Regions from separate parts of the Mus musculus genome. Here regions 1 and 3 are each reported to be linked to region 2. The links are microRNA targets in miRTarBase. Many come from high-throughput screens and were not tested one by one. Region 2 holds a microRNA gene; each other region holds the end of a gene's coding sequence.

Evidence for each region. Region 2 holds the annotated microRNA mmu-miR-1894-3p (GCAAGGGAGAGGGUGAAGGGAG, at 1,631-1,652, shown strand). A microRNA usually pairs through its seed, bases 2 to 8, with sites in the 3' UTR of a target mRNA and lowers its output. Matches are read on the target gene's strand: a 7mer-m8 pairs with bases 2 to 8, a 7mer-A1 pairs with bases 2 to 7 and ends in A, and an 8mer does both.
Region 1: miRTarBase lists Mtus1 as a target of mmu-miR-1894-3p. Seed matches in the 3' UTR shown: 8mer at 2,943-2,950.
Region 3: miRTarBase lists Nrp2 as a target of mmu-miR-1894-3p. Seed matches in the 3' UTR shown: 7mer-m8 at 2,538-2,544 and 7mer-A1 at 1,363-1,369.

Annotation. Positions count from the first base shown.
Region 1 is chr8:40,989,590-40,993,767 of GRCm38, forward strand. It overlaps Mtus1 (mitochondrial tumor suppressor 1), which reads right to left. Exons shown (of 14, transcript NM_001005863.2): 14 at 1,323-4,044. The coding sequence ends at 3,831. It overlaps Pdgfrl (platelet-derived growth factor receptor-like), which reads left to right. Exons shown (of 6, transcript NM_026840.3): 6 at 726-1,193. The coding sequence ends at 914. Among named protein-coding and RNA genes, the nearest start is that of B430010I23Rik, 26 kb to the right of the region's middle.
Region 2 is chr17:35,916,308-35,920,485 of GRCm38, forward strand. It overlaps Mir1894 (microRNA 1894), which reads left to right and starts at 1,582; the gene lies at 1,582-1,662. It overlaps Mrps18b (mitochondrial ribosomal protein S18B), which reads right to left and starts at 133. Exons shown (of 7, transcript NM_025878.2): 1 at 1-133. The coding sequence starts at 56. It overlaps Ppp1r10 (protein phosphatase 1, regulatory subunit 10), which reads left to right and starts at 889. Exons shown (of 19, transcript NM_001163818.1): 1 at 889-1,409.
Region 3 is chr1:62,814,868-62,819,045 of GRCm38, reverse strand. Nrp2 (neuropilin 2) reads right to left here. Exons shown (of 17, transcript NM_001077404.1): 17 at 354-3,713. The coding sequence ends at 3,409. Among named protein-coding and RNA genes, the nearest start is that of Gm35120, 20 kb to the left of the region's middle.

The DNA of each region.
Region 1 (4,178 bases), not on the chromosome of region 2:
GGAGGGCAGAGCTTTCCAGCATCTAGATGTTAGGTTGGTTGTTTTAAATACATTGTTCTACTTAGACATTCTTGCTTTTCCATAGAGTGACCCTTTATATTGCTGTTATTAGGAGAAAAAGCATTAAGTGATACTATAATCACCCTTATCAATTGAATTTAGAAAACACTGTTCTCGTTGCTGCAACTGCCTGAAATAGATCTTACAAGTCACCGTCCTCTAGAATAGATGCTCATGCTGCCTAGGGCATTATCTTAGCCTTCCTTGGTACAACTGGCCTCCCTCTGTAGTCTCAAGGAACATTAGCCTAATTGCTTTCCTGCCTCTTCTTCACTTACAGAGTCAGTGCTTTTGACCTTAAGTTCCATAAACAAGAACCACTTGGCAGTGTGAGGGTGACACAATGGGAAAAGATGCTGCTCATATAGATATGTTTATGCTGGTCCCCCATAGAGGCCCAAAATAATTCATTTTACATATAAAAAAAGCAAAAAGAAATCACAAAAACAGCATCCTGAAATTCAAGACCCCACTTGGGGGAGGAGTGGAGGAAGGGAAAGGCAGCCTTGAGTAATTATGCAATCAAAAACAAAAACCCTCCGCTTGTGAGCTCAGCATACCAACCAGCCTTCTGTGAGCTTGTACTGAATGGGCCTGGTGGATGGGAACTGAGTGAGGGAAGCAGCTGTCAATGTGACTTTAGTCTGTGTGCCATCTTTAACCAGGACGAAAGGCCTGTGACCATCCAGGACACCTGGAGACTGATTCACAGAGGACTGGGACACACCACAAGAATCTCCCAGAGTGTCATTATCGTGGAAGACTTTGAGACCATTGATGCGGGCTACTACATATGCACAGCTCAGAATCTCCGAGGACAGACCACAGTAGCGACCACTGTTGAGTTTTCCTGATTTGGAAAGTGAAGAGTAGTGGACCAATGGGATGCCCATCTGCACACACAGCTTCCAGGTGCTTTATAGGAGGCCAAGGACCAACCCCTGCCAGTGGGTCAGACAGACATCCGAATTAAAAGGAAGTCACTAGTCTATTAATAGAAGTATAAACTTTCCTAACTAAAGTATGTATTTTGACTCAGCCATGTTTCTACTTTTTATACTGAGAAAACATGTCAACAACTTTGTATCAATCGTTTCTATTAAATGAGCAAGATTTTATAAAAAAAAAAAAAAGTGAGCTAAGTACTTGTGTCATTTAGCATGTACATCCAGAAGGGCTTGACAGTGATCTTTGTGTTGCTTAGTATTCTGTTTGATGTTTGAGCCAAGTTCAACGGCTTACTCAAAAGCAAGGACTCAAGATTCAAATGCTTAGATATGTCACTTTATCAAAGCTAGCACAAGTTCATTTATAAAGGTATCAAAATCACATCTTTTTACATTGAAATCGCCACACTCAGAGTACTGATTTAAACCCCTCTATTCAAAAATAACTGCATGTACACTATTAACACCTTAGCCTTTAATATAACATAGATGAATGGACTGAAGAAGATTCAGCTTTGGCTAAGACCGGTCTTGAAAAAACACTTAAGACCACAGCTGTTCCAATTTTCTTTTCGCCTTGCAGAAGAATCATTCAAACTAGCCAAAGTTTCGTTCTCTGACACATGTATTTTGAATTTGAAAAGCTTAATCTTAAACTCAAGCTCTGTGAGCCAATTTCAGCCACAACAAATTTTGGCATTGGGTTCTAAGTTCTGTATAATAGCATAGGGCGCCTGGCTGCCTTAACTAAGGAGGGATGAGAAGGGGGAGCATATAACTTAACGCTTTGAAGAGTAAGTATGTCAGAGGCTGCCATTCTTACATTGAATATTCCAGCATTATTTATTTGATCAAAGTAAAATACACTTTCCCATTGCTATAAACTACAGTTGTTCACACACCCACATTTTTTTTAAACGATGTGTCAACAATTTTGTATTGTACATAAAATGTTTGGTTTAAAAAACAAAACAAAAAAACCCTTAAATGCTCTCTAGGCATTTTAATTGCTGTAAGATTTGACTTCCCAGACATCTACGTGGTATGAGGGATGGCAGGTCAACACTTGAGCTTTACCATAACTAGGGCATAAATGACAAACCTGACTTTGGCTAACATCATTGAGAACAACTTGGGACCAGGAGCAGAGCTATTCCAGGAGGTGGCAGTGAAGCTGCAATCATTCCTATTTATCGGGAGCAAACATGGTAGGTTACATACATCATAAACTATTGGAGATAAGAGACTTCAAACACAACCCCTAATAAAAAGCATGCATCATGACTATCAGTTAGCTCTGTAGTGCAGAAGTCTAGGATGACTCACCTCTAGTATCCTGAATCTGTCCTCGCTATAGGGGTTATCTGAGCAGCATTGACCATGAATTAGTAAATACTGACATCGCAATGCCGGCATGCACAGGGAAGTTTGTGGGTTGGGTGGTGGGGAGCCACAGCTATCCTTCTAACTTTCACAGAGCCTTGGAGCCTAGGGAGATGGTAAGCGAAGATCTGAATTTTGAATGCAGTGTGAAGGAGCTGCAGAAGCCATACCTCTCACTCTTTGGCCACTCTGTTCCATTCCAGTGGCTGGAAGAATGCTCAGAGGGGCCCAAGTCAGCATTCCCGCTCTTGGATCTACTCAACACAGAACTGTTGGCTTAACTCTGTGCTCATGTGGATTAGTACATGCTAAAATGCCTTTACTGGTTTCCCCCCCGGGGTTTCTAAAATTGTGTAGTGTCAGAACCAGAGCTTAGCTTATTTGGGAAACAGGTTCAGCACCTCCAAGATAAACTGGCCCTGGAAAAGCACACTCTGTGGGTAGGAAGGAGGGCGCTTTGCTTCCGTGGCTCTACATGGAGGAGAAGGCAAGGCGGAGGTTAGAACAACAGGAGGGTAGACGGAGGATTAGCGCTATGAAGCTAGCTTGGGTTCAAGGGAAAAAAATAAACCAGAAACATCCATTGGTACTGCCCCCTTACTCTTTATACAGATTTGTATTTAGAAAAATTAGGGAACTACATTTGCTCATAGCCTGAGAAAATGAATCAGAGTATAGCAATTAGGCTCGTGAAAATCTACAGGGGGAAAAAAAAACTGCTATCAACGGATAATGCCGAACATGGAAAAACTAACAACAGAGAAATAAATGTACAGTCATCAAGAAACCAAAGGCTTTTCCTGTCTTGCCCGAGCCCTGCCGTGGCACAGTGCTGAGATGAGTTGGGGGGAAATTCAAGCACTATTGCTTTCTCTTCTATGGCTTTTGTTGACGCTCGTGTGCCGATTATGACTTGGTTAATACAGGCCAAGCTATATACAGCTGTTGACTTTTAATACACAGCAGGGGGCGGGGCTATGACAGTCACGTGACACGCCAGTACACCCATTTCACTCACACACACACCCCCCTTGCCCACAGTCAGACTGAAATAAAAATCACAAGAAGGTGTCTCTGGTGAAGAACATTATAAAGGTTATAAATCTTTATCTTAATAGGGCCCTGAGAGTTTTCCCCTATGCTTAGGTGAAGGAAGGCAAAGAACAAGGTTCCCTCGTTCCGTAAGTGCTTTGTGCAACTATGTCCACTTCAGTTCCGAAATCTGTTTTTGGAGGAGGCTTTTGGACCAAGTTAAAAGTCTCCTATTGGAGCTCTCTATTCGTACGTAGCTGAAACGGTTGGCGGCTGCTCTCCCGATATCCTGGGGATATTCCAGAGAGCTAACGCAGCAACTCGAGTTCCCATGAACTCTGAACTTCGGGTCAGTCCCGCAGAAGCGCACCTCAGTGCCTTCAGAGAGTCTCCTGCGTTCAGAAGCCGTCATCTGGGTGAGATGCTGGGGCTGGAGAAGGAACCAGAATTCCTGGGGGACTGGAAAGGGATGGCCGAGGAGGTGGGGGATCTCTTGGGGCTGCACAGGTCTCCGTTGTGCAGTTTCCACAGAAGTTCCTCGTTCTCCATGGACAGTCTCTTGTTGACCTTCGACTCCTTCTCAAGGGACTCCTGCAGCGCGGCCTGCTCGGTGGAAAGTTGCCTGGAAAACAAAACCCAGAGAGCATATGAATCCAAGTCAAAAAGGAACTACTACTGTTTATATCTGAAGGTTCAAGAAACTTCTTCTGGGGGAATACACAGGTTCTTGTCCAGGGTCATCAATTTTTTTTTTCT
Region 2 (4,178 bases):
CTTCGTAAGAGTGTAGGAACCAGCTTTAGAAGCGTGTGCCGCAAGGGGGCAGCCATCTTGACGCACACCGGACGTACGGCCTGCCGGAAGAGCGACTGCGCATGCTCGGGACACGCACTAGGGTGGGCCAAGGACACGCCCCGCAATGCGGAAGGCGGCTGCTCACATGTCTAAGGGCGGAAGCGTCAAGGGGCGGGGTCCACAGACGCGAATTTAAACTGCGTCACAATCGAACCAGCCTTCAAAATTGCATTTCTCCCGGACCAGTCACGATGAATCCTAGATTCCATGGTTAGTGTCTAACATGAAAGCAGATTTGATTGCGATTTTAACCAGGGTGCTCCCAGTGCGCATGCGTCGGGCCGTTTCGGCCAACCGAGGGCGACCCCGGGTCGCCGGAGCGGAAGTGGTGGAGGCAGAGGAAAGGGAGGTGCCGGACGCGGCGATCACGCGCTGGCGTAGAGGTGATAGCAAGGAGACGGAAGAGGGGAACCGAGGGAAGGGGGCTTCGGGAAGGTGGAGGAGGGACGTCCAATCCGCGGGCGACCCGGCTCGCACGCTGGCCAATCAGAGTTCGCCTCGCGCACAATGTGTCCCGGCGAGGGCGGTTCTCCATCACGTTAGGGTGCGTTGGGCGGTGGCCGGGTATAAAAGACTCCGCCCGAGCGGGCGGCCGCCATTCTGGGGTTCGTTTAGAGGTAAGTTTGGGTGCTCCGTCGCTTTGGAGGGTAACGTTTTGCCGAGAGCGGGCCGGGGGAACGGGGTGGTTTCGGATTTAATGGGCAGCCACGTTTTTCCCTAATGCGGCTGCGTCCTGCGACAACTTTGAAACGTTTAAAGGCGACCCGTACTGATTACACCTTCCTCCTTTTGTGTTCCTTTTACCCCAGGTTGAATTTTCTCGGAGAAAGACAGGCCGGCCATCAGGAAAACAAACAAGCCTCAGCAACATCTAAACCCTTGAAAGGATCCTGAGAGGGGGGAAAGGGAAATCAGCCACCAGCCCAACCACTCGTGTCTTCTGCCCCTCCCCACCTATCTTGCCCACCCCACCAGCCCACGCTGCTTGGGACTTGAGATCTGTGGCCGAAGGACCGTCACCACATAACTTCAAAAATAATCAACCACCTTCCCTGCCCAAACCTACCCAATCTCACTCATCCAGCATTTCCGTTTTGGAATCCACTCAGACTTTTTTTTTCAACGACCCCCTCTCCCTAAATGGAGTTGGGCGGGGGGGAAATGAAAACTGAGTTGGTCTTTACTTTTTTTAAAAGAGACTTTTTGATCCAATGAGGCCCCACAAGTAACTGAGTTTGGGTCCTGGTTGGTTGCTTTATTTTTTTTCCTCCAAAATTTTACCCCTCCCCCCTGAGCCCGAGGTGCTGACGTCGCAAAAAAATTGGATAGTAAGTGTCGAATTTTCAAAAACCAGCCTTGAACAAGAAATCAACGTTTCCCGTTGTGAAACCAAAAATAATGAGAGGAAGAAATGAGACCATAGAACAAATGTAGAGTACTGGAGAGAAGGACCAATCGGGTCTCTTAAATCTCCATTAAAGGTCCTGTGGGTCTAAACAGTCTTTGTTCTCTCTCCCCTACCACCTGCCTCTTCCCTGCTGTGGAGCAGGCAAGGGAGAGGGTGAAGGGAGGGCCAGCCAGTGAGGATTTTGACGGTTAACCCTTGATAATCCAGCAGATTTCCAGACTGCCAGAGCATAAGCCTTTGCGATAATAAGGAGGAATGGTTACCTTCCTCTGGTTAGCAGTCTTCAAAAGGGTTAATGAGCTCACATACAAAAGATGGTGGATCTTGTGGCCCAGAAGTCCCACTTCTTTGTGTGTGAGACAAGCAGAACGCCTTTCAATTTGCCAGATTAATAAGCAATCTGTACATAAAGATTGCAGGGTAAGGAGATGGGCAGAGAAATATTAGCTGGCTATGTCTTTAAAGTGACTGTTAAATCCTCTCTATTTTAATGTAATTTGCTTGGGATATATTGTGTGGTTAAAATAGGTGGCAATCTAGGAATAAAGATTGCAAGACACTTAAATTTAGGGCAAAAATCATAGTAACAAGTACATACAATAACATTTGGGGAGGTAAAGAATGTCTTGTGATTGTTTCAGCTTGCATAGGTTATTTAAAGGCAAAAGTGATTAACATTTTAACTTGATACTTTTTTAGTGGGTGGTGGATACAGCTAAGAGGGTGGAAAGGTTGGGAAATGTGGAACTCAGGAGTATAATTTTAAAAGCCATTAGTGCATTTGAATGCTATCTTTCTAGAAGATTGTGTCGTTAAAAGATTTTTTTTTTCCTCCCTGCTTCAAATATGGCGACTTTTCCTTGCTTGTCCTTTTGTCTTGCAAGCGGCGTTGCAGGTTGTGTCTTGACCCATTTTTCTCCTGTCCTCCCCCCTCGGTCCTATTTGTTGAGGGGTCCAAGTCCTACCACTTGGCTTTTGTAGGGAGGATTGGGATGGTCGGCGGTAGTAAGTTGAATTTTAGTTGCAAATTCAGATTCTTATCCCGCAGAAAATTGTATATTAATTGATTTTATTTTCAGTAATAGGCTCTTAAACTGATTTAAGATAGGTCAAGTTGAGGGTGGTGGTCAGAGGGATGGCTTCTGTTTGTTTTTTGTTTTTGTTTTTTTAACTTAGTGCCTTACAGTGTTAAGTAAAGCTACCGGCAGATCTGCCCGGCCTTTTAAATTTTGAATCTTCTCCATAACAAAATGGCGTCCCTCTCCTTTGTTTTTCTCCTTTGCCAGTCAGCTTAGGGCTTCCCTAGACGCTTGGTCAAGGGGGTGGAGCCACCGTGAAAGGTGATGTAATCAGCTTGCTTCCTCTGAAGACTCCGCCCCCAAGCAGCTGTCTTCTCTCCCTTTGCAGATTGCTGTTGGGGAGAATACGTTTTGGGTTTTTTTTTTTTTTTTTTTTTTTCTTGTTTCTTTTATCTTATATGATAAATCTTCCAGGGATAAAAGCTTAATGAGCACTAGGGATGGAGGCTGTCCAGGTCCTTGTGTATGTAGCTCTAGGTTTTGTGTTAAAAGTCAGCCCATTGCCTTGGTTTCACCTTCCACTCATCACAACTGCTTGGACCTATTCCGTGCTTCAGTGGACAGGGGTGGAAAAAAGCTCAACCCCGACTGCTTTAGAGAGACTTGGGCAAGACGCAGGGCCTGAGGGAACTGCAGTGTGCCATGCTGTTCAGGAAGGGTCCTTACACTACCTGGGTATTGGTTGCTTTGTAACAGTCTGGGGAAAGGGTGGGTACTGGTAGGACTTTCTTGTAAACCATCCTTATTCTCACCTCTCAGTTTGGGGATAAACTCTTTGTGCTCAGTGCCATCACCTGCAGTTGCTTAGTTCCTGTATGTTGGCACTAGGATGAGAAGTGAATCTTTAGGAAAGGAGGCTGCAGTTTAAACTCGAGGCAGGGGGAGTCAAGCTACGGTTTCTGGTAAGCAAAACATTTCTGGTATTACATTTCACAACCTTTCTTTTTCCCAAAGAGCCACCTTTTCGAATTTCTTTTTTCCTTCCTTCCTAAAAAGAAATTCTGTTAAAGCATCGAGGAAAGGAATGTCCTCTTTTCCTCCCTGCTGAGTGCTGGGGCTGCCGTGCATGTTGCGAGCCACGCCCTCCAGGGCAGTATTGGGTGTCTGGTTCTTTATCTCTTTCCCCAGCTTTTTCAAAGTCAAGTCTTTGACAGTTTCTTCATATACTTTTCATTTTTTATTTTAAGTCCTGGGTGGAGTTTCTAGACAGAGTTTATAAGCCTTTTGTCCTGCTGTCCTACCGTGACTTGGGTACAGCAGGGCTCATTTTCTGCTGGGTGTGGATTCTCATTATTGCTTGGACTTCTGATTGAATGGGAGGGCCTCTTCCACATGTCTATTTACCACACGTCTTTTTTATCTTTTAAGCAGTTTGCCAGGTGCCTCTGCAGTGCACCTACCTTGGGATCTGAATAGTCCACCACTGGGTCCTGATGTCTAGTGAGCAGGGATTAGTAAAAAGGCCTTAGGTGGGAGGTGAAAAATGCAAGGCTCTCTATTTCTAGGGAACCTTGGAGAACCTGAGTCTTACAGTGGCCAGAATTCTAGGGCCAGGGTGGTGGATGTAATTTTGTGTCTTTATTGAAAGCCAAATACTTTAAGAAGTTTAA
Region 3 (4,178 bases), not on the chromosome of region 2:
GTTGCAAGGATGAGGTTAATACTCTTGGAAGAAGAAACAGACAAAGAAACTCAGGAAGGAAAAGCCATATGGTTCATGAAGGGAAGGTAGATGTCTACAAATTAGAAAGACTCTAAATGTGCTAGTAGTTGCTTGAACTTGATCTCAGTCTCCAGCACTAAGCATCAAATGGTTGAGTCTAAGTCACCTGACATACGGTATCTGTTATAGCTGTCCAAGATGACTAACTTGGAGCATTTTCCAGGACACAAAACTCTGAGTGGTAAAACCCAGAAAAGTCTCCAGCACATGGGGCAATCTGGTCACTCAGGTCCCGGCTCTCTTTGTTCTCAAGAAAGACAATGTAGGAAAAATAGTTCTGGTATAATGTTTATTTAAATAGTAATCTTAAAAAGGCTTTATACAAATCATATAAACACAGTCTGACATTGTTTTATTTTTTACATTGAAGAATCACAGTAAAAGCTCTCGAGTTCCCGTGATCTGGCTCAGCCAGTGAATGGTCAAATACCTTTAACCGCACACCCTGGAAAAGCTTAATGTTCCCCTTGTTTTCTTGTCATTCATGCTCATTCCTTGGACCCTCATCCCTGTCGACTCCCCATTCCTGCAAGAGAGAGCAAGCAACCCTGTGGCCCTGTGGACCAGTTAGTCCGGGAGAGCGTGGAGGTAATGTGTCATTCAGTACAAGGCAAAAAAGGAGATCAATACTGTGAATTAGATTTCCCAAAGGGAACAATTCAAGGAGACAGGCTGGCTAGCTTACCTGCAGATAGAGATAACAGATTCGTCAAGGTGTCCTCTGGCTAAGTTAGAATCAGACTCAGCTGTCTTTCTTTACATCTTACAACAGACCAGCCTCCAGCCTTGGTGAGGTATCTACATGTAGCCCCGGGGACCCTGCTTCTTTTCGGCCCTCAGGACTCACCCAGAGCCTCAAATCAGCCAAAGTGAAGTGGATGCAGGACTTGTAGAGGAATGCAGGTTGAGTTGCACATAACTTTAGACAGGGCTGGTCTTGGGGGGGGGTGGATTATGGTAAATGGTCCACTGGGCATGTGAGGGCAGGACCCCCGGAGTGGGCACTTCTCTCCTCCTTAGAAACCCCCAGCTTTCTGAATCCTAGCTGCATGGGAGGGTGAAGAAGAGGGTGAGCTAAATACCAACTTTCTTCTACTGCACGCCCAGCTCAGAGGGCTCCTAACGCTATGCCCCCCTGGGCTAGACAAATGAACTTTTCACCTCTACCACTGTGCCAACGAGTGCCAAGATCAGCAGTAACACCCAGGCTCTAGGTCAAAAATCACAACACCAGCACTGAGTCCCACGTTACCACTCACATACACAGTAGATACAGAGAACTCAAGGGTGCGACACACACACACACACACACACACACACACACACACACAAACACACACACACACACACACACACACACACACACACACACACACACACACACACGCGGGAATAAATAGATGTCGGCATGACTGTTCCCCCTCTTCATACAAAACACTGCGACATTACCATCTGAACTAGGGTTTTCATAAGTTAACATTTAAAGGGACCACAGCCAGTCCCGTCCACCCTCCCCCTTTTGCCTGGGTGCAAGACAAATGAAATTGTGGGTGATCACAGCAGCAAAAAAAACGGTCAGACAGTTTACCACTGATATGCAACAGTCTGGACATACTGGTGGGGCTTAGACTGTATTTCTAGGGCACAGACAATCTTTAGGCATTAACAGAAAGTCAAGATTTGGATCTTGATGAGGACAATCTTATCCTTCACACAATTTCATTATCTTCCTGATGCCTCCCTTTCTGGAGTCATCTAGGGCTCTGATTTTTTTCCCCGGGTAGCCAGACTCAGTCCACTGTGGCTCAGCCGTGGGTAGGGGGGCTGGGAATGGAGTCACTGGGGCAGGAGAAGCAGGAGGAGCCTTAACTTGTGAGACAGTGGTGATTTCTACCTAGAGGAAAGGACATTTTTCTTCATTGTTTTTCAAGGCACTTAATAAAAAACACATGAACTGCTGTGTGTGTGTGTGTGTGTGTGTGTGTGTGTGTGTGTGTGTGTGTACGTACATGGCACATATGTGTATGAATAAGAACTCAGGTCTCCTGAGGTTGAAGCTGTGTGTAAGCTTCTCCATCCATAGAACTTGCTGACTTGTAGGTAGAAGTGCATGTCTTTGCACTTATATCCCTATAAGGATGTAGCCTCCCACAAGAAATCAATGTTCTTAACCTATCAAGGAGACTCATTCAACAAAATGTCTCTGTCCACACTGGTCATTCTTCCCAATACAGGCTGCGTTTCTCTCTCTTCCTTTGTTATTCTTTCTCTCTGCTCTGAGACTAAAGAATAGAGACTGCAAAATCTCCCACTTCCTCCCCCCCCCCCAAGTATGTGTGTGTGTGTGTGCACATGAGCTGCATATGAGCATGCTGTGTGCATGTGAATATATGTATACGCTGTAGAAGAACAAATAGGAGGGAAAAGAAAAGGCAAAGCCACCAGCTGAGACCCTACAAGGGACATCCCACAGCCACAAACTCTGGGTCTAGATTAAGGAATGGCACCCAGTCATCAAAGCATTTTAAGGCTTGTCTGTGTCTAACCATAGAGGTGTGTCTATGGGTTCTGGTGTATGAAGTTTCTGTTATGTTTTACTTTAAATCTTATATAAGAAAGAATTGTTCAAGCTGACCCTAAAATGGCAATCTTCCCCTGGATTAAAAAAAGCTAAAGGCAATAACATCCTACTTCAATATGCTAGGACCGGAAACGGCAGCTCCTAGGGTTGGCTGGCAGAACCCGAACACACCCCAGCAAGTCTCTTGAGTTGGGAGACCATCTGAGGGTGAGCTAAGCTGGGTGGCTTTTGTTTCTTAGGTTCCATTTCTCAGGATGGAAGGGCTGAAAAGCCCCTTTGCTTTTCAAGTGTTGACTAGAAAGAGATGTGGAGAACAGGACTGACCTCTCCACTTTCTGCCCCGGATAAGCCATCCTCTTCTGCCTCTTTGAGTTGCTCACAGACAAAAATAAAATAAAATATAACAATAGCAATCATAATCATAACAAACCCACAAAGGAAACAGAACTGTGACTCCGAAGAGATGCGCTCCTGTCTGTGTCCCTGCAGAGAACACGGGCCCGGTTCCTGCATTCACTTGGCCACCACAGTCCTGGTGGGCAACGATCCCCTTCACAGCTGCATCTCCCTTTCTCCCTAGACTGGCCTGTCTGTCCTGTCCATACCTTCAGTATTCTGGAACACTTTGATCCAGATTATGGCATTCAGTTTCCAAAGGGAAAACAAAACAAAACAAAACAAAACTGTAATCTTCGCTAGCCCCTCTCACTGGAATGAAACGCCAGAAGCGATCCAGACACAATCGGTCATGCCTCCGAGCAGCACTTCTGATGATTGATCTTGACCTTGTGCTTGAGGCCATCGTAGAGCTCAAAGTTGTAGTTCTCCAGTGTGGTGCAGCTCCTCGAACTCAGACCCGAATAGGAGCAGGTGCAGTAAAGGAGGAGGCCCGCACAGGTGGCCCCCAGCAGGACCCCCAGCGAGCTCATGGCGATGATGGTGATCAGAATGGGATCTAGGGTGTACAGCCAGCTCTTTTCTTTGCCAGATGAGGGGTCACCAGCCCCTGAGGTAGAGGAAGAAGAGTTGCTCCAATCTCCTTCATATTCATCTACGACACAAAATACACAAGAGTGTAGGCATGGAGACAAACCCGAGGCTCCCCAGACCCAAGTCACTTTAGGGCTTAGCAGTAAACAGCAGGCACTTGGGAACCTTGCTATATCCTAGCTGTGCCATTTGAAGCATGTAACCTAAGCCCTTCTCTGACTCCAGTTTTTCATTGTAAAGTGAAGATGGCAATAAAATGGCCTCCCTGGGTTATTAGGAGGCTTAAGTGAATTAATAATTGTCAAGTGCTTGCATCCTGGCACAGAATAATTGCTCTCTCTGTGGCTCTGGCTCTGGCTCTGGCTCTCTCTCTCTCTCTCTCTCTCTCTCTCTCTCTCTCTATATATATATATATATATATATATATATATATATATATATATAATATATTACATATATTATATATGTTATATATAATATATTATATATAACATATATTATATCACTTTATTTATAAAGAGTATCC